Linked DNA regions of Oryctolagus cuniculus. The protein of the gene in region 1 purifies or fractionates together with the protein of each later gene. This does not show direct contact. Links are inferred from orthologs where the notes say so. Each region holds a gene or a part of one and is shown on either strand. Other genes may lie near its edges.

Region 1 (10,117 bases):
CTTCCAGCTCCCTTCTTCTGTCCGCAGCCTCATTTCTTAAATGACTAGGATTTTTTAATGGGCCATCGTGGGGAGAGGGTGCTTCTCTCTTCCTCCCATCAGGTTGAGGCATGGGCCTTGCATCTGGGGGTCCCCAGGGTGTGGGGGTAGGGGTGGGGGTGGGGACCAGCTCCGGGGCTTCCATTTGCAAAAGGGGATTAAAGAAAGAATATTGCTTAACCATGGCTCTGGCTTGATTTGTGTTTAACGGGTTTGGGAATGGGAGTGGGAGAGTAGAACTTGGTTCATTCTGTCCCAGTAGTCTGGGCTCCAGTTTTAATAATATCCTGTGTCTACCTAAGACTCGCACTAATAATGATTAACAATAATGATTATCATTATAGATAAAATCTATTGAGCATTTAATGTGTATTAGACTCTACGCTGAGCACTTTAAATATGAAGATTCTGGCCTGGGAAAGCAGTAGAAGATGGCCCAAGTCCTTGGGTCCCTGCACCTGCATGGAAGACCCAGAAGAAGCTCCTGGCTCCTGGCTTTGGTTCGGCGCAGCTCCAGTCATTGCAGCCAATTGGGGAGTGAACCAGTGGATGGAAAACCTCTCTCCCCCTTTCCTCTCTCTGTATAACTCTGACTTTCAAATAAATAAATAAATCTTTAAATATGAAGATTCTTACGTAACCTTCATTACAAACCTCATGAGGTAGGTAATGATATTATTCCAATTTTACAGATGGGAAACGGCAGAAGAGTGTAAGAGGTTTGTCTAACATTTCTCATGTATTAAAGTACAAGAATTTGGATTCAGTCTCAGGATGTCCAACCCCAGAGTTTGTGCTCTTAGACAACTCCACATCCACTAAGTAAACAATGAAGTTATAATGTATACCTCGTATACTATATGTATCAAATACCGGTTATTCATTCATGCATGCATCCATCTATGGTATTTCAGGCACTTTCTTAGGCACTGGAGATTCAGATTATGCACTGACCATGACAAATTATTTTTTACAGGGTTGGTAGTCTACAGAATAGTCAAACATTAAAGAAATAAGCACAAAGATAATGGAGTTAGTTGCCACCACCATAAGCTCTATGAAGGCTACTATGAGAATGGTTAATCAGAAAGTTGATGTAGATTGGGGATGAGCAAGCCCTCCTTGAGAATTTCAAGACAATGAGAGAGAGGGTGAGAGACCTTTCATCCACTGGTTCACTCCCCAAATGGTTGCAACAGTTGGGGCTGGGCCAGGCTGAAGCCAGGAGACAGGAGCTTCTTCTGGGTCTCCCACAAGGGTGCAGGGACCCAAGCACTTGGGCTATCTTCTACTGCTTTCCCAGGCCATTTAGCAGGGAGCTGGATCAGAAGTGGAGCAGCCGGGATTTGAACTGGTGCCCATTTGGGATGCCGGCACCACAGGCATAGGCTTAACCTACTACACCAAAGCACCAGCCCCTTTTTAAGGTTGAGTAATACTCCATTGAATATACCACATTTTTTAATCCATTCATCTGTTGATAGACTCTTAAATTGCTTCTACTTGTTGGCTATTGTGAGTAATGCTGTTATGAAACAGGTGTACCCATATCTGTGCAAGTCCTTGCTTTCACTTCTTTTGGATAAATATCCTGAAGTAGAATATGCTGGCTCATATGGAAATCCTTTGTTTAACTTTTTGAGAAACTGCCCAACTGTTTTCCATGGTGGATACACCATTTACATTGTTACCAACAATGCATGATGGTTCCAATTTCTCACATTTTTAACAAAACTTGTTATTTTCTCCCTTTTATGCATAATAGCTAACCTAATGAGTATGAAGCAGTATCCCATTATGCTTTAGACTTGTACTTCCCTGATGACTAGTAAGGTTGAGCATCTTTTCATATGCCTATTAGCCATCTGTACATTTTCTTTGGAGAAATGTCTTTTCCAAGTCCTTCTCCTGTTTTTAAATTGAATTTTGTTGTTGAGTTTTTGGAAACGTTCAGAGCTTTGCTAGCTCTAGAAATTTCTGTTGGGCTTGAAGATGTGTGGATGACATCCAGTCAGCCTCTGGGTTAGCTGTTGGCAGGACCCCTGTCTCCACACCATGAAGTAACCGAAGTTTCACTTAGTCTTTCAGATTACTTAATCAAGCAATTCATTAATTGTATTATCCAAATAGTCACTCTTTTTTTGGTTATGTCTGATTTCCAGGCTAACACAAAAGAGCAATTGCCATATGCTTCTTTTCATAATAAGTTCAACAACTGTCAATGTTTGTGGTGCTGGAGGTCAGAACACCCCTGACTTCTGGGGAAACATGGACGGGGACAAAAGGGAGCTTTCTGGACTGATAACTGGGTCTGTGCCCTGGAAATATGGGATCATTGGTAAAACATTTAGTAGATATGGACTTAAGATTTTTGCATTTTACTGTATACAGATTATACCTCAGTTTTTGAAAGTTAAAAGAAGAAAAAACTATCAAAATTTTTTTTTTCCAGGCCCCAGGTTCTTTCTAAATCCATCTGGTTAATTTTGTAGACCCAAAAGTCTAAAGTGCCCTCTTGTGGCTGCCTGTGGTTCTCTTTGGGTATCTGCTCTCTTGGGTGTAGTCCCTAGCAGGGCACCTAGGGTCCACACACACACATGGAATACTCACTGAGCACCTACTCAGTGCCAGGCACCGTGCTGAGTGCTGAGGAAACAAAACAGACGGGGCTCCCCTTTCATGTAGACCACAGTGAACTGGCACAGGCGTAGTAACCTACTGCATTCTAATTAAGGACAAGTGCATGGCATAAGAGAACTTGTCTGGGGAGCGGTCAGTGAAGGCTGCCTTGGAGTAGCCATGTTTGAGCCAGGATCGAAGGCTGATGAGTTAGCTATCTACCTGGGGAGAGCGTGGAGTGTGCAAGGGTCCCGAGAAGGGAGTGCAATGTGCCAAACAGGTCACTGGAGTGGCAACCCAAAGAGCAGAAGGGAGCCCTGAGACAAGAATGGAAATGCGGGGTAGAAAACAGGTACTCGTTTACCCTTAGAGCAATGTGGAACCATCAACAGTTTTAAGTAGGGGAGTGACACGGCCAGATTTCTGAGGTAGAAGCTTCGACAACAAAGTGGGTGATAGGCTGGAAGTGGGCCAGGATGGGTGTGAGGCCATTTGGTGGCTACTGCATTAGTGCAAACGCCCAGTGGGTGCTCAAGACCCGTCTGTGGAATGAAAGGGTTCCCCAGTCCCTTTTGTTAGATGGGACCCCATGACTGAGCAGCTCCCACAGTTCACAGCCCACTTGCTCAGTCTCCAGTCTTCCCTGATGCACAGACCCCCAACTTCCACATTACAGATGAGGAAGGCGAGGTCCAGAGAGGCAGAGAAAGTCCAGGAGGCCTCTGTGCCACGGGGATGCCTGGCTACACCTGGGGGAGGGGAGGGTGGCACTCATTCACTCAGGAATTCTGTCCACTGAGCTTGCTGGCGAGATGGTGGTGACGGCACAGGGTCGAAACTCACAGGCAAGTAACGGTAACGACCGTTCTCTTTCTCAGTTAATGCCAAGCACCGTGCCAAGCGCTTCATCTCCGCTTTGCAAGCATTATTATTATCTCCAGATTTCAGTTGGGTAAACTGAGGCTCGGAGAGTTGCCATGTCCCAGGACACTCAGCCAGAGCGCGGCAAGGAGCTGCGCAGCGCTTCCAAGGTGGGAGCCACAAGCGAAGCGACTACCGGAAGCAGACGCGGACCCGCGGGATCCAGATTTTAAGCCCCGGGCACCCAATTGAGCGGGTGCGCGCTCCACGCGCTCCCGGGGACGTTTGGTCACGTGTGCAGGGCCCCGCCCCCTCGGGCCCGCCCCGCCCCCTCCCGCGCTCCCTCCCTCTCTCCCTCCCTCCCCCTCCCTCCCTGGCCCGGTCCGGCCCATCCCCCTCCCCGCCGGCTCCCTGAGGCCCTGCCGGGTCGGGCTGCGGGCGGCCGGGCGCCGACGGCAGGACAGACGGGCGCACGAGAGGACGGACGGACGGACGCACGGAGGGCGGCGGGCACGCACGGCCCGGGCCGGCGCTCCGAGGCCCGCCCGGGAGGGCCGGGGCCGCGCTCAGGTGAGGCGACGGCGACGCGGGCCCGTAAGGGGTGGGCCCGCCCGCCCGGCGTCCGCGGTCTCGGCCTGGCTGGCTTCGCGGGGAGGAGGTGCTGCCCGGGCCCGGCGCGGGAAAATGGCGCCGGGCGGTCGTGCGGCACGGCCCGAGTGCGGGCCCGGCCCGGAGCCGCCCCGCCCGCCCGCCGCGCTCGTGTCCCCGTCGCCATGTTGGGGAGCGGGCCCCGGGCCTGCGGGCGGGGGCGCTGGAGGGAGCGGCGGCCCGGCCGAGGCTGGGGAGGGTGCGGGACGTGGGGTTCGGGGCGTCGAGGGAGTGCAGGGCTGGCCGGGGTCTGCACGGGGTGGCGCTCCAGGCCCAGGGAACTGGCAGGGGCCGGACTTGGGGTCGAGGCTAGGATCGCGAAGAAGGGACACTGGATCCGAACGGAACCGGGGTCGGAGGTCCCTGGGCTGGGGGGATGGCAGGACGTGGAGCCGTGTTAGGCCGTGGCGGTGTTCAGACCCCCAGGGCAGGTAGGCGGTGTGGGGGCCCAGCTCAGGCTGTCAGGGCTGGAGCTGGTCTTTGCAGGGAGGGGAGGGGAGGGGAGGGGAGGAGAGGAGGTGATTGATTAGAAATGGGGGCCTTTTTGCTACAGATGAATGTATCAAATTGGGGCAGTCCTGGGATCTTGGGGACAGAATTGCAAGCCCCTGTAACTCTTAAGGGATTAAGGACTTTTGTGTCCCACGGAGCCTTCACCTCATTTTGAGGGGAGCATCATAAAAACGGAAGAGTTGATGGGGAGAGAAAAGGAGGGCTGTGGTTTGAGGGCAGGAGCTGGCCAGCAGAAGGGGGTGCAGAGAGTGGAACTGCTTGGCAAGAAGGGAGAGAACCTCCATCAACTTATGGAGTTGTGTGTATCTTTAAAAGGAGGGACCAGGCTGTTTGGAGGTGGTGACCCAAGGTGTCTTCACAGGAAGGGGACAGCCCACTGCTTAAGAGCAGGGTCACCTGGGGAGGTCATCAAAAAGGTCTTAATTGAGCCAGTAAGAATGGTACAGAAGAGTAAATATGTAAAAGCTACAACGGCCTCCGAGCTCATGGGATACTTTTCAGATCTTGTCGTGGCTTTGGCTTCCCTGAGATCTTAGGAGTTCAGTGGCAGAGGGGCTCCTGGACGTGGTTGTGCTTCCTCCTCATTCGCTCATTGTCTTGAGGGAATTTGCTTGCTGGAAGAATAGTGTTAAGCATATATCATGGAACTGTTAAGCATTTGTTTTATTTTTGTAAGGAGTTTGTACAAAGTCTGAGGGGGCTTCCAAAAAGAATAACTAACCAGCTATTTGATATATCAGCGCTCACCTCCATTTGTGCAAAGAAGTTATCTTCAAAATCCTCTCATTTTCTTCCATTTTAGTAGGTGAACCTTCTCTTCTTCCTGTTTACTGTACAGCAAAGGAACACAAAAAACTAAGAAACAACAATGAACAAGGATAGCGATCCAGAATCTCATGTTCAAACTGTAATTGATGGTCCATCACCGTAGGCAAGAGTTCAAAGTTTACATGAACTGTGAGGAGACTTCTGAAGGAAACCTTGTGTTTCAGTCATGATATCCAGTGGGTGCTCCATTCCTGTGGGTCCACACTTGTGGATTCAACAACCACCAATTGAAAATATTTAGGAAGATACATTGTATCAGTACTGAACATGCACAGGCTATTTTTTTGGTCATGCTTCCCCAGATGGTACAGTGTAACTATATGTACATAGCATTTACATTGTATTAGGTACTATAAATAACATAGAGACAATTTAAAATATAGGAGAGGACATGTGTAGGTTATATGCAGATACTATGCCATTTTATAAGAGACTTGAATTAGCCTTGAATTTTGGTATTGGGGGAGGGAGACCGTCTTTCACTGAAACTAAGGGACAACCATGTAATCAAAAAGGACTTTCAACAAAGAGGTGATGAAGGCATTCATAACATAGGATTTTCAATGCTGTATGTATGTACAACACAATCCGTTTTTTCTAGATTTTTCTAAGGCAGGAGGCCTGACCTTATGTGTGCCGTGGGACCTTTTACTATTTGGCGAGGTTTATTAAACCTCTCAGAAAAAATATTTTTATTTGTATAAAGTATATTAGATTACAGAGAAAACCAATTATTTGAAATGCAATTATCAAAATATATAAATTATGATAAACTAATACAAGCAAGTATGTGAGGAGGTGGGTGTATGTGTATACATACTTCTTTATCAGCACATTAATGAATTAGATCTGGGGGCTGGTGTGGTGGCACAGAAGATTAAGCCACTACCTGCAACATCGGCATCCGCTATCGCACTGCTGGTTCAAGTCCTGGCTGCTCTGCTTCCAGTTCAGCTCCCTGCTAATGTAACTGGGAAAGTAGTGCAGGATGGCCCAAGTTCTTCAGCCTCTGCCACCTACATGGGAGACCCAGGCAGAGTTCTAGGTTCCTGCCTTCAGGCTGGCCCAACCCTGGCCACTGCTACCATTTGGGAAGTGAGCCAGACAATGGAAGACCTCTCTTACTGCCTGTGCTTCCCTCTTTGTCATTCTGCTGTTCAAACAAATAAAGTAAACCTTGCAAAATAAAGTGAAGAATTAAAAAACAAAAAAATTAGATCTTGTGGGGGTGGATCTGATAATTATAATTTCAAAGACATCATGAGCATAAACAATATGTCAAGATAGCTGTAACAATTGTGATACAATATATACATATGAGGGTATTTCAAAAAGCTCCTGGAAGGGACCAGCATTGTGGCAATGCAAGCTATGCTAATGCCTGCAAAGCCAGCATCCCATGTGAATGCTGGTTTGAGTTCTGGCTGCTCCAGTTCCAATCTAGTTCCCTGCTAATGTGTCTGGGAAAGCAGTGGAAGATGGACTTGGTACCTGGGTCCACGCCCCAACATGGGAGACCTACATGAAACTCCTGGCTTTGGTTTGACCCAGCCCCGGCCATTGCAGCCATTTGGGGAGTGAATCAGTGGATGGAAGATCTCTCTCCTTGTCTGTGTCTGTCTGTCTGTCTGTCTGTCTACCCCTCTCTCCCTGTATCTCTGCCTATCAAATAATAAAATCTTTATATAAAGAAAAGCTTCTGGAAAATGAAATTAAAGCAGTTATTTTGGTGCAAAAAAAATTTTAGAGAGTTATTTCAAAGGCAAAATGACAGAGGGAGGAAGAAGGGAGAAAATGAGAGGGGGGAGAGAGAGATAGCTCGTCCATCTGTTGCTTCAGTCCTCACATGGCCCCAAGAGACAGGTCTGAGGAGCCAGGAACACCATCCTGATCCTCTACATAAGTGGCAGAGGCCCAGGTACTTGAACTGTCATCCACTGCCTTCCCACTTAGGTTAGCGGGAAGCTGGATTGGGAATAGAGCAACTAGGACTTGAACCAGCACTCTGATATGGAATGCTTGCATCACAAGTGACAGCTTAACTGGCTGTGCCACAATGCTGGCCCAAGTACAAAAAATTTTGGAATCCTTGTGTAGTTTTTTTATAATATACATTTCCACATATTATGAAAAATAATTTGCACCAAAACATGCATTTAATTCCATTTTTCCATGAACTTTTTGAAGTACCATCGAATTTGTGATTGCTGTTGTTAGAGTCACAGGTACTGCTAATACTAGAATGATTTGTTACCTATGTTCATATTTGAATAAAATGGTAACTTTCCATTAGAGGTTAGTGTAAGTAAAGGTCTTTTATAGATCTGAGTTCACAGACACCCCCCTATACACACACATATTCTACCTGGGGGCTCCCATTTTGTGAACCCCTATGTTCAAAAACCCTACTTCTGAAGCCAGTGTTATGGTATAACAGGTTGAGCTGCTGCCTATGACTCCAGTATCCCTTATGGACTAGTTCATGTCCCCTCTGCTCCACATCCAATTCTACTACCTGCTAATGCTCCTGGGAAAGCAACAGAAGATAGGCCCCTATACCCAGATGGGATACTTGGAAGAAGCTCCTGGCCCTTGGCTGCTGCCTGGTCCAAGCCCTGGCTATTGCAGCTGTTTGGGGAGTGAACCAGTGGTTGGAAGATCTCTTTCTCTCTCTCCTACCCTCTTTCTCTCTAACTTCCTTTCAAATAAATCTGAAAAACAAACAAACAAAATTCCTGCCACCAAGCATGTCTTCTACTGAAAAGACATTTGCTCTGTATCAAGATCTAGTATATGTCAAGCATGATGCTAGACTGAAAGGATTGAGAAGTCTTTAAGGGTACAAGCATTTGGCCTAGTGGTTAAGATGCCTGCATCTTGGCCGGCGCCATGGCTCATTAGGCTAATCCTCGGCCTGTGGCGCTGGCACCCTGGGTTCTAGTCCCGGTTGGGGTGCCGGATTCTGTCCCGGTTGCTCCTCTTCCAGTCCAGCTCTCTGCTGTGGCCTGGGAAGGCAGTGGAGGATGGCCTAGGTCCTTGGGCCCTGCACCCCCACTGGAGATCAGGAGAGGCACCTGGCTCCTGGCTTCGGATTGGTGCAACGCGCGCCGGCCATAGCGACCACTTGTGGGGTGAACCAATGGAAAAGGAAGACCTTTCTCTCCCTCTCTCTCTCTCTTTCACTGTCTAACTCTGCCTGTCAAAAACAACAACAGCAACAAAAAAACCTAAAATCTTGAATGCCTCCCACTCAGCTGAGGATTCCATCCAAACTTGATAGCAATATATTTCAGAACCAGGTCCCCTACAACCTTCCCAGTCTCATCTCAGACTACACTTTGCTTTTTCCCCTTCTGCTTTTTAAAGTTGGTTATTTTTTGCTTTTGAAGGATAGAGTTACACAGAGAGAGGTAGAGAGATCTTGCATCTGCTGCTTCACTTCCCAAATGGCAGCAATGGCTGGACCAAGTGGAAGCTGGGACCCTGGAACTCTGCACACATTCCACCCCACCCCCACCCCCCAGGCTCATCAGCAGGGAACTGGATCAGAAATGGAACGCTTGGACACAAACCTGTGCCCATATGCATGCTTCATCCCAAGCAGTGGCTTAACCTGCTGTGCTGTAGCACTGGCCCCTGATTATACTTTACTACCACTCTGTGCTCCAGCTACAATTACATTCCCTGAAAATGTAAGTCTACCTGAAAATCTCTTCTTTCCAACTGTCACTGGCAAACCGGTTTCTTTTAAGATGCATCTCAAACATCACTCTTTCCAAAACCTTCCCTATAGGGCCAGTATTGTGGCATAGTCCTTATGGTCTGGCTGTTTCACTTCCAATCCAGCTCTGCTGGAAAGGCAGGGGAGGATGGGCCCAGTGCTTGGGCCCCTGCACCCATATGGGAGATGGGGATGGAGCTCTTGGCTTTGGCCTGGCCCAGCCCAGGCTGTTGTGGCCATTTGGGGAGTGAATTAGCAAGTGGAGGATCTCTCTCTCCCTCTGTACCTCTGACTTCCAAATAGTAAATAAATAAGTCTTTTTATTTCTTTTTCCCTTGATTCCTAGGCCTTAATGCTGGCCTCTCTATTCTATTTTTTTAATGTCTATATTATTTTTAATAATGACTGTATTGATTTACACTCCACCAACAGTATATGAAAGTTCTGCCGGCGAGCGCACTAGGCTAATCCTCCGCCTAGCGGCGCCGGCACACCGGGTTCTAGTCCCAGTCGGGGCGCCAGATTCTGTCCTGGTTGCCCCTCTTCCAGGCCAGCTCTCTGCTGTGGCCCGGGAGTGCAGTGGAGGATGGCCCAAGTGCTTGGGCCCTGCACCCGCATGGGAGACCAGGAGAAGCACCTGGCTCCTGGCTTCGGATCAGCGTGGTGTGCCGGCCGCGGCAGCCATTGGAGGGTGAACCAACGGCAAAGGAAGACCTTTCTCTCTGCTCTCTGTCTCTCTCTCTCACTGTCCACTCTGCCTGTCAAAAAAAAAAAAAAAAAAAAAGAGAGAGAGAGAGAGAAAGTTCTACTTTCTCTGCATCCTTGCCAGCATTTGTTACTTTGTCTTTTTGGTAAGAGATAGCCATTCTGACTGGAGTGAAATGATAG
Region 2 (10,145 bases), on another chromosome or scaffold:
CAAGGATTGATCACCATTCTGAATTGTCACCTCACAGCTGGCAACTCCTCTTGTGGGATATGAGCCTCAATCTGCATTTGTAGCAGTCATATTCAGTGATTCTATATAGCAACACCTGACAATTTCGTTCTATGCTTTAAAGTATCCACATATTTACTGGTATTTCCTTTTATTATTCCTTTACATTTCAGTTTGGCCAATTTTTATATATTATATATTTTTACATATACAGGTGTGTGTGTGTTTGTGTGTGTAGATACATATATACTCATACATGCACACAAATATATATATACATATACACACACATATATATTTTAAATCATATAAATTAACTTGCATATAACTTTTAAGAAAACAAATGGTGTGATCAAAATATTTATTGTCAAAGGGGGTTTGGAGCCAGAAAGGTTTAAGACCACTGCTGTGGTGGTCTGGCAATAATGACCAAAGCCTGAAAATGCATTAAGTTACCCTATCACTATGAAATCTGCATGGGATATGCAAAGTCACTTTAATGAGACAATAGTTCCAGGCTATGGTCTGAAAGAAAGCTTGTAGGAAGAGGAAGGAACTGAAATGTCAAGGGACCTTATTCATCTGGCAACTTTGCACCTAAAGCACAGCTTTTGCAGATTCTGCGAGGAGCTACACTGAAACTCCAATATATTACTTTCAAGATATGTACATGGCAGGTTAAGCCTCCACCCACGTCACTGGCATACCATAAAGGCGTCAGTTTGAGTCTCAGCTGCTCTACTTCTAATCCAGCTCTCTGTTAATGGCCTGGGAAAGCACTGGATGATGGCCCAAGTGCTTGGGCCCCGGCACCCATGTGGGAGACCCAGAAGAAGCTCCTGGTTCCTGGCTTCAGACTGGCACAGCTCTGGCTGTTGCAGCAATCTGGGGAGTGAACCAGTGGATGGAAGATCTCTCTCAGTCTGTCTCTCTCTCCCTGACTCTCCCTTTCTGTCTGTAACTCTGCTTCCCAAATGAAAATAAGTAAATCTTTTTTTTTTTTTTTTTTGACAGGCAGAGTAAGACAGTGAGAGACAGAGAGAAAGGTCTTCCTTTTTCCGTTGGTTCACCCCTCAAATGTCCGCTACTTCTGGCGCGCTGCACCGATCTAAAACCAGGAGCCAGGTGCTTCCTTCTGGTCTCCCATGCGGGTACAGGGCCCAAGCACTTGGGCCATCCTCCACTGCACTCCCGGGCCACAGCAGAGAGCTGGACTGGAAGAGGAGCAACCGGGACAGAATTCAGTGCCCCAGCCAGGACTAGAACCCGGGGTGCTGGCGACGTAGGCGGAGGATTAGCCAAGTGAGCAGCAGCGCCGGCCAGTAAATATTCTTTTTTTTTTTTTTTTTTTTTTTGACAGGCAGAGTGGACAGTGAGAGAGAGAGACAGATGGCCACCGTGGCCGGCGCGCTACGGCCAGCCCATCGCGCTGATCCGAAGCCAGGAGCCAGGTGCTTCTCCTGGTCTCCCATGCGGGTGCGGGCCCAAGGACCTGGGCCATCCTCCACTGCACTCCCGGGCCACAGCAGAGAGCTGGCCTGGAAGAGGGGCAACCGGGACAGAATCCGGTGCCCCGACCGGGACTAGAACCCGGTGTGCCGGCGCCGCAAGGCGGAGGATTAGCCTAGTGAGCCGCGGCGCCAGCCCAGTAAAATCTTATTAAAAAAAAAAAAATGTACATGATAAAGAAATGCAGAATTAATTAATTTACTACTGACCTTAACCACAGGTAAGTCAAAGACTTCCCGAGCTTCTCCAACCTCTGGATTGTCCCCATCCTCTGAAATTATGTGTGAGGCTAATGCATTGTAGGAGACTTCCTTGGCTTTTCCAGCTTTCAGAAGCTGAATAACCTAAAAAGCAAAAATATCCAAGTTAAAATGGAAAATATCAGGCTACTTTAATTTATAAAAGTAATTATTGGAAAATACACCATATTCCCTGCATAGAATTAACAGCATTTTACTCTGAATAATTTAGGGACGACAACAACAACAACTACAAAACCAGCAAATCCTAATTCATCAACAAGTAGAGGCTCTTGCAGGCCAGTAGCTAGGTAAGCCCATCCTTGAGACAGAGCTGCACAGACACTCCTGAATCTCCAGCTGAAAGGTAGGGGGCGGGTAGTTTCACTGTAACTGGGGAAACTTTCCAGATGAGGAGATAGTCATATTTGAGTAGAGTCCTTAGAAATGTAGTAACTGTCAGTCAAGCAAAATATATTCATGTGAGCAGGGAACAACATCCAAGTTCTGGGACAAGTCTTTGATACATACGATCAGACCATCAATATTTCTTATGTGTTATAAAAAAAAAAGAAAGTGCAGTTCATTTCCAGCTATCCACATGAGCCAGGGGATAGCACGGAAGTGGCAGATTATATAGGAAGATTATACAGAGAGATTATATAGATGGACGACCACAAAAGAAAGCACTGGGGTGGCAGGAGATCAATAAGGAGGCAACTAACTGCACTAAACAATGTCACTAGGAAGAAGGAAGATGTAAGAAAATTAGCAAGACGTGGTGACTGGAGGGGGTACAGGCCAAGATGGAAATGCTGGGAATTAGGGTACCACACACTGAGGGATGCCAAAGGAAAAGTACAAGGAGGGGACAGCCAGCACAAGCTGTAGTGTGGGCTACACTGCTCTTTGCCACCATGCCGAACATCTGGCAAGAAGCATCCTTTTATGTAGCAAAGGATTGGTGCTTTCCTGATTGGGTATCCTCAGCATAACAGAACATAGCCAAGGCTCTGAGGGAATGAGATCCCTCCCGGTGTGTAGTGCGCAGGTGAACTGAAGGTTACATACTAGCAATTCTTCAGGCACAGGAAGAGTACTCAACCTGCCAGCAGAGCCAAGGAAGCGGAGGGATGCGCAACAGCAGAGTAATATGCAACTGAAAGTACACAAACATGAATGCGACAGGGTGCCCAGAGAGCTAAAATGAGTGACCTTTAGTATCTTATTGATCAGCAGATACGTACAAGAGAGGCCAGATCTTTGTTTTAGCCCCCTCACTTTTCTTTCTTCCCTTGACCCCCAAGCCTCGTCAGCTTTACACGTCCATGCGACAGACCTACCTACCCCTCTTTTTATTACCTTCCAGTCTGACCCTATTGCCTTTTTATGAGTCCTGAGATTCCACCCTCTCCGCCTCCACAGCTATGCCGCCCCACACCCTTACTGCAGATGCATGCAACCCAGATCCTCCCCTGGCCCTTTATCTTCCTCTATTCCCTTCTCCGCTTCTCACAACAAATTCCCTGAAACCAGCCTAACCTTTTTGCCTTCATTTCCCAATTACTCTTCAACTCTCTGCAGTTGTGCCACTTCCCTCAACACTGAACATCAGCACCACCAACTACTAGAAACTGACTCAATTTTCATGAACTTTGAGGATGCCAAAAGTAATAGCTTCTTTTCAACCTCCATACTACTGAATCTCTAGATTACCAATTGATCTCATGTGGCTCATGTGATCACCCTGATGTATTAAAATTGTACTAAAAATGTATTAAAAATACATTGCTTTTTTCATTCTTCAGCACATACAAAGAAAAGTCTTTCAACTTTTTAACTTCTGTTTACCTTAAGACCTAACCGAAATGGCACCTATCTAATGACATTTCAGTGGTCTTATCCACATCCCAGCAGAGAAACCTGGTCTTGCAGCATCCACCAATGTGCTCAGGTGTGCTCCCTCCTCCAGCAATATGAGGAGTCCTCAAAAACAGCTACCATGTCGTCATTTTATTACACCTGGTACCTAGTCCAAAGCCTGACACGTACTAGATGTTTAATACATGTGAACTTTCAAATCCATGTTTACAACATTCAGAAAACCAGAAATTCTGGCTCTAAAAATTTTTAAAAATATACTATTTGTCGGCCAGCACTGTGGCGTAGCCGGTAAAGCCACCACTTGCAGTGCTGTCATCCCATATGGGTGCCAGTTCGAGTCCTGGCTGTTCCTCTTCCGATCCAGCTCTCTGCTATGGCCTGAGAAAGCAGTGGAAGATGGCCCAAGTCCTTGAGCCCCCTGCACCCACGTGGGAGACCCAGAAGAAGTTCCAGGCTCCTGCCTTTGCATAGGTGCAGCTCCAGTCATTGCGGCCATCTGGGGAGCGAACCATCGGATGGAAGACCTCTCTCTCTCTCTGCTCTGCCTCCCTGTAACTCTACCTTTCAAATAATAAACAAATCTTCAAAATATATATATACTATTTCAGAAGCCAGTATCGTGGCAGAGCGGCCCAAGCCACTGCCTGTGATGCTGGCAACCCAAATGAGAGTAGGTTTGAGTCCCAGAACTTGTGCCCTTGCCACCCACATGGGAGACCCGGATGGAGTTCCAGATTCTTAGCTTCAGCCAATCCATCCCAAGGCTGTTGCAGCCATTTGAGGAGTGAAGCAGTGGATGGGAAGATCTCTCTGTCTTTCTTGGAAACTGCCTTTCAAATAAATAAATCTTAAAACATATATACTGTTTCTGGCAAAGGGGTTTGCCAAGGACAATTTTAAGCCCCTAGATCTGAGAAACCAGAGTTCTGGTTCAGTTTGTTCCAGGTTTTAAGTAACATTTGGCTCAAGAACCCCCAAAGACCCAAAGTCCTAAAATCAAACAGGAAGGGGAAGGGAGAGAGCGGTGGGCAGTGACTACAGGAAGACACTTCTATCTTACAAGTACTCATTTGGATCACACTGGGTTCAGCACTTGTCTAACTCTTCAGATTCGAAGCCATCAGTGTCTTGACCCTAGTTACAGAGGAAAAAGCATCCAAGGGAGTTTAGTTTCTAAGAAGCCCAGTATAAGCCTTTAGCAGGCCAAGGCCAATCAGCCTTCCACAAGTCTTCCGGTAGGAGCCAAGTTTATCGCTCAATAGTTGTGTCCCCCACCCAATGCCTAAATTCTGATCATTCGGCATCCCTGCAGGGTTAGCCCTGCTGATGGGACACCCAAAGCAACATAACTGCCCCCTGAAACTTCCGAAAGGAAGTGGTCTGAAGACTGACCTGGAGGTAATACTCAACTAGGAGCCATTCCTACCATGGACGAGCAACAGCCCGATGATTAAACAGATAATATTACTTAGGAGAACCCACACTACCCTCCGGCGTGTGAGAAAATGAAAATGCTCAAAGCGATCGCATTACCAGGGTATCTTCCACACTTCTGGTATAATTCACCAGATTAGGAAAATCAAGGACTAGCAACGCCGGCCCCCACATGTGAGGACGCAGGCTGCTGCGTGCCGTGAGCGCTCTCAGCACCGCACAGGACTGGAGCTGCCTGGCAGAAAGCTACACCGCCCAGGAGCCCCTGTCCTCACCTGTCTCCTAGTGCACCCTCAAACCAGCTCGCCTCAAGCTAAGACCACAGAGGCGGCCAGGGTGAGGATGCACTGCAAAGTGGACTACGCTCCCCAGAGAGGCACAGGACACCCAGGGCCGAGGCGGCGGCCGAGCACGGGGCTCCCCCCGCCCCAAAAGGACACTGCTCCAGGCAGGTGGGAGACTGGGACGGTCAGCACCGCGGCGCCAAGCCCGGGCTAGGGGTTCTGGGATTGGAGCGGGGGCAACCCCCGCCGGGGCCGGCGGCCGCACGAGGGGCCGAGGCCAAAGCCCCTCCGTCGCCCCGTCCCCTCCCCCCACACCCCCGCCGCAGGCCCCCGTCCCCTCCCCCTCGGCCGCACAGGGCCCAAGCCGGCGCCTCGCTGCCCCCTGCCCCCGGCGCAGCCAAGGCCGGCGGCCCTCGGCGGGACCTCGGCGGGCCCGACGTTCAGCGCCCGGGCGCGCGCGCCCGCGGCGGAGCGGGGACGGGACGGGGACGCGGACGCAGAAGGAGGCCACGGCGGCGCGGGCGCGGTACCTGCGGGTCGATGTCGCCCACCGCGTAATACTTGACCTCCCTGAACATCTCCTCAGGAACTTTGGGAGCCTGGTCCGACATGATCGCGGCAGCCCGGAAAGGCTCCGCAGCGGCGCCCGGCCCCGCCCACCCACCCACCCCCGGCCCCCGCGCGGCCCGCAGCAGCCGGTACCCCCACTCGCTCCACCAACGGCCCGGCCCGCGCGGCCCCGGCCCGGTCCAGCGAATCGGGGCCCGCTCCCCCGCCCTCCGCGCCCCCGCCCGCGCCGAGCGCCCGAAGCGCGGGAGCCGCGCGCGCCCTGCGGGACGCACCACCTCGCCCTGGCCGCCGAGGGGAAGCTGCGAGAAGCTGCCTGGCAGCCGCGCCGCCCAGGGCCTCCGCCGCAGTTCGCAGCTCTGGGGGTGATGGCATCCTAGAGCCCGTTCTACAGACGGGAGGTCCGTGACCGCCACTCTCCAATAAGGGGTCCCGGGGACTTGGGGATGCCCGCCTTCCCTCCCCCCCCCGGGATGAGCTGGAGTGAGCCAGTCCGGGGAAAGAAGGGAATGGGGCGGCCCCTCCCGTCACCACACGCGGCCGCTCCGGGCGGCGCATGCGTGCACCCAGAGGGGCGGGGCCACGGGGCTAGTGGCTGGGTTGGGGGCAGGAGCGGAGTCGCGCGGCGGTCTGTGGCCTGCCCGGTTCCCTGTGGTGCCGGGAGCTCGTCTGGACCTAGGGTGATTCCTCAACCGCTCGCGGCCAGGGCTAGGCTGTGCGGGCCCGAGTTCCCTCAGGCACGGGGTTCCGGAGGCCGGGCGCTCCCGGGAGGCGCATCCCAGCTGCGGGTAAAGAGGGCTTGGGCCTGCAGGGCGAGGGCGGCCGGGTGGCGTCTCGCGCGGGCTCTGTCAGAGCGCGCTGGCAGTCCGTCAGCTCCGCTGTGCCCCGACGCAGGCTCCGGTGCTGATGGCGTCGGTCGATGCTGGAGAGAAATTCTAGAACTCAGACCCCCGGGTGTGGGGCGCCAGTCACCCCAGGGGGAGACGGCCGCGAGCCCCCGAAAGCGCAGCGCGAGACGGGGAAGACTGGATGTGATGATTTTAGTGATCCTCTGTGTGTTACAGCTAATCCCTTCCTTTCCCAGCCATAACCGCACCGTACCGAGTGGCTTCGTGTTCATCTCCCCGAGACAGCTTTATGCTAAAAGGCCATGATGGTGGGTGCAGGCTTTCCGCTGTCCCAACAAACCAGAAAATTGTTTTTTTTTAAATGTCTTTCAAACGTAAGGTCCCCCACTAAAAGTTGGTGTGGTTCATTGATGAGCATGCAGTGTATACTGGCTTTGTTAATCAGATGATTACGGTTGTCGTTTTCCTTACATTTGCGTATAATAAATGATTTGGGGTAGACAGAAAGAAAGCAGCACACATTAAAATACACATAATATTTTATCCCTAATGTTTTCTGGTCTTTTTTTTTTTTTTTTTGAAGATTTATTTATTTATCCAAAAGAGTTACAGAGAGAGAGAGAGAGAGGTCTTCCATCCACTGGTTCACTCTCCAGTTGGCCACAACGGCCGGAGCTGTGCCGATCCGAAGCCAGGAGCTTCTTTCAGGTCTCCCTTACGGGTGCAGGGGCCCAAGGACTTGGGCCATCCTCTACTGCTGTCCCAGGCCATAGCAGAGAGCTGGATTGGAAGTGGAGCAGCCTGGACTCGAACAGGCGCCCATATGGGATGCCTGCCCTGCAGGCCAGGGCTTTACCCTCTATGCCGCAGCGCCGGCCCCAATGTTTTCTGTTTCTTTAACCTTTGCATTTCTCTCACGAACAGTCGGAAACAGCCCTACTCTATGGCTAAGAAATTTCCCTTACAAATAGTAAAATCATGGAGTGCTGGCCTACAGGAATTAACTAAGAAGTTATCATGCATTTTAAGATCTTTATGACATCCCTCTATAATCAGAAAAATCTTTGAATTCCCAAGAGTATACTTGATATTGACCATTATACCATTTTATGTTCCGTGTTAAGAAAATGTCAGTGCAATAAACTGTACTTCCAAATATAGAACATATGCCTTTTTATTGGCACGTGTAAGAGAACGCATTCAGCCTTTTGGTTTTCCAAGTTAAACACAAAACTGAGCATGACATTTTATGTTAAAACACTTGAAGCAGACCTCACACAGGTATTGTGTGAGTTAAGAAAGCAATTTGTGGCCGATGCCTTGGCTCACTAGGCTAATCCTCCGCCTTGCAGCGCCAGGTTCTAGTCCCGGTCGGGGCGCCGGATTCTGTCCCAGTTGCCCCTCTTCCAGGCCAGCTCTCTGCTATGGCCCGGGAGTGCAGTGGAGGATGGCCCAACTGCTTGGGCCCTGCACCCCATGGGAGACCAGGAGAAGCACCTGGCTCCTGCCTTTGGATAGGCGTGGTGCGCCGGCCGCGGCAGCCGTTGGTGGGTGAACCAACGGCAAAGGAAGACCTTTCTCTCTGTCTCTCTCTTACTGTCCACTCTGCCTGTCCAAAAAAAAAAAAAAAAGGCAATTTGTTTAAAAAAATTTTTTTTTTAATAAAGCAGTTTGTAGGGGCAGGCATTTAGCACAGTGGTTAAAACCTTGCCCGGGACGCCTGCATCCTAATCTGACGTGTCTGCTTCCATTCCTGGCACCAGTTCTAATCCTGCTCCCTGATAGTGTGTACCCTGGGAGTCAGCACATGCTGGCTTGAACACCACTCAAGTCCCTGCCACCCACGTGAAAGGCCCAGAACCAGTTCCCAGCTCTTGACTGCAGCTCAGCCCAGCCATGGCTGTTGCAGGCATTTGGGAAATGTGCCAGGAGATGGAAGATACCTATCTCAGGTCTATCAGCCTTTCAGTTAAAATAGAAAAGAAAAAAAGCAGTTTGTAATATTAAGCATGACAGTTTTACCTTCGAGTGCTAGTGGGCACATTGTGGATTTACTGCTATTTAAAATCCCATCAACCTGGGGTCAGTGCTGTGGCTCACTTGGTTTAGCCTCCACCTGCGGCGCCGGCATCCCATATGGGCACTGGGTTCTAATCCCAGTTGCTCTTCCAGTCCAGCTCTCTGCTGTGGCCTGGGAAGGCAGTGGAGGATGGCCCAGGTGCTTGGGCCCCTGCACCAGCATGGGAGACCAGGAAGAAGCACCTGGCTCCTGGCTTCGGATCGGCGTAGGTCTGGCCGTAGCAGACATTTGGGGAGTGAACCAACGGAAGGAAGACCTTTCTGTCTCTCTCACTGTCTATAACTCTACCTGTCAAATAAATATTAATATTAAATATTAAAAAAAATCCCATCAGCCTGTCAGAATTTGTTAAATGTCATAAGCGGGGCAATGTCAGTGTGGTATATACAGTGAGTCTTACAGCACTAGTGTCAGCAAGACTTGGAGGCAGAGTCACACAGAACACTCCTCAGAGTCTCAACAACTACGGCTTCTTGGCCAATAATGGAAAAATCAAAGTTATTTTCACTTGGATAATAGATATTCCCATTAAGTCTAAAAAGTTGACATTCTGAAGTTATGGGGAGAAAAAAGTGTACCAGAGGACTTAAAGGTGACCAACTTGTAAAGGTAAACAGTGAAAATAGCTTTTAGCAGAAGATAAAATGTCCATATGTCTGCACAGATAAATAGGTAATTCGTACTCTTATGACTCAAGATGACCCCCATCAGGGTAATAATACCAGTTCATTAAACAGAAGCTTTGCATTTCTTTTCTATAGCTCATGCATGTGCCACCCCCAAATATAACACTTCTCCCGAGGAGATTCAAAGCACATGAAAAGGATAGAATACTTATGTCAGAGGCACAGGCAGGCTCAAGATCTATGGCAAAAGCAACTGAGAACCCAAAGGACATTGTCAGTGGGCAGGATTGGCCAGTAGTGATTTAGCTATTTCATGTAAAAAAATCTAGAAAGCACAAGAAAGGAAAGTGTAAATTACTCCCCCCCCAGTCCTGTACCCATAAGCAACCACTACTGAAATCCTTCCAGACATTGTCATATATTTTAGTTCTTCAGGGTCAGTAATTAATAGGCTCTATGCTTAGTACCCCATTCTTTGTACCAAAATTTAGTTTGGTATTGTTGCACATTTGTTTCCAGTTTTAACAGTTGTGTACAATGCTACAATGAAGAGAGGTAGTTTTAAAACTGCATATAATGTATTGTTCTGTCCTATTCTTTAAGTTAGAACCTGTCCCATATCTCATTTAGCACACTGTATTAGCACACAAGGAGTT

What was found. The genes of interacting proteins can lie anywhere in the genome.
Region 2: the proteins of NCOA6 (region 1) and PAXIP1 purify together in Homo sapiens (co-immunoprecipitation; 6 studies listed by BioGRID and IntAct, with this or other methods). This does not show direct contact. The link is inferred for Oryctolagus cuniculus from reciprocal best matches to the Homo sapiens genes NCOA6 and PAXIP1.

What each region holds. Positions count from the first base shown.
Region 1 is NC_091442.1:23,281,466-23,291,582, forward strand, and holds the start of NCOA6 (nuclear receptor coactivator 6), read left to right. Parts: upstream 1-3,862; 5' UTR 3,863-4,089; intron 4,090-5,118; exon of another isoform or gene 5,119-5,294; intron 5,295-5,427; exon of another isoform or gene 5,428-5,510; intron 5,511-10,117. UniProt on the Homo sapiens protein: Nuclear receptor coactivator that directly binds nuclear receptors and stimulates the transcriptional activities in a hormone-dependent fashion. Coactivates expression in an agonist- and AF2-dependent manner.
Region 2 is NC_091438.1:18,738,673-18,748,817, reverse strand, and holds the start of PAXIP1 (PAX-interacting protein 1), read right to left. Parts: upstream 6,053-10,145; 5' UTR 5,980-6,052; coding exon 5,899-5,979; intron 1,872-5,898; coding exon 1,737-1,871; intron 1-1,736.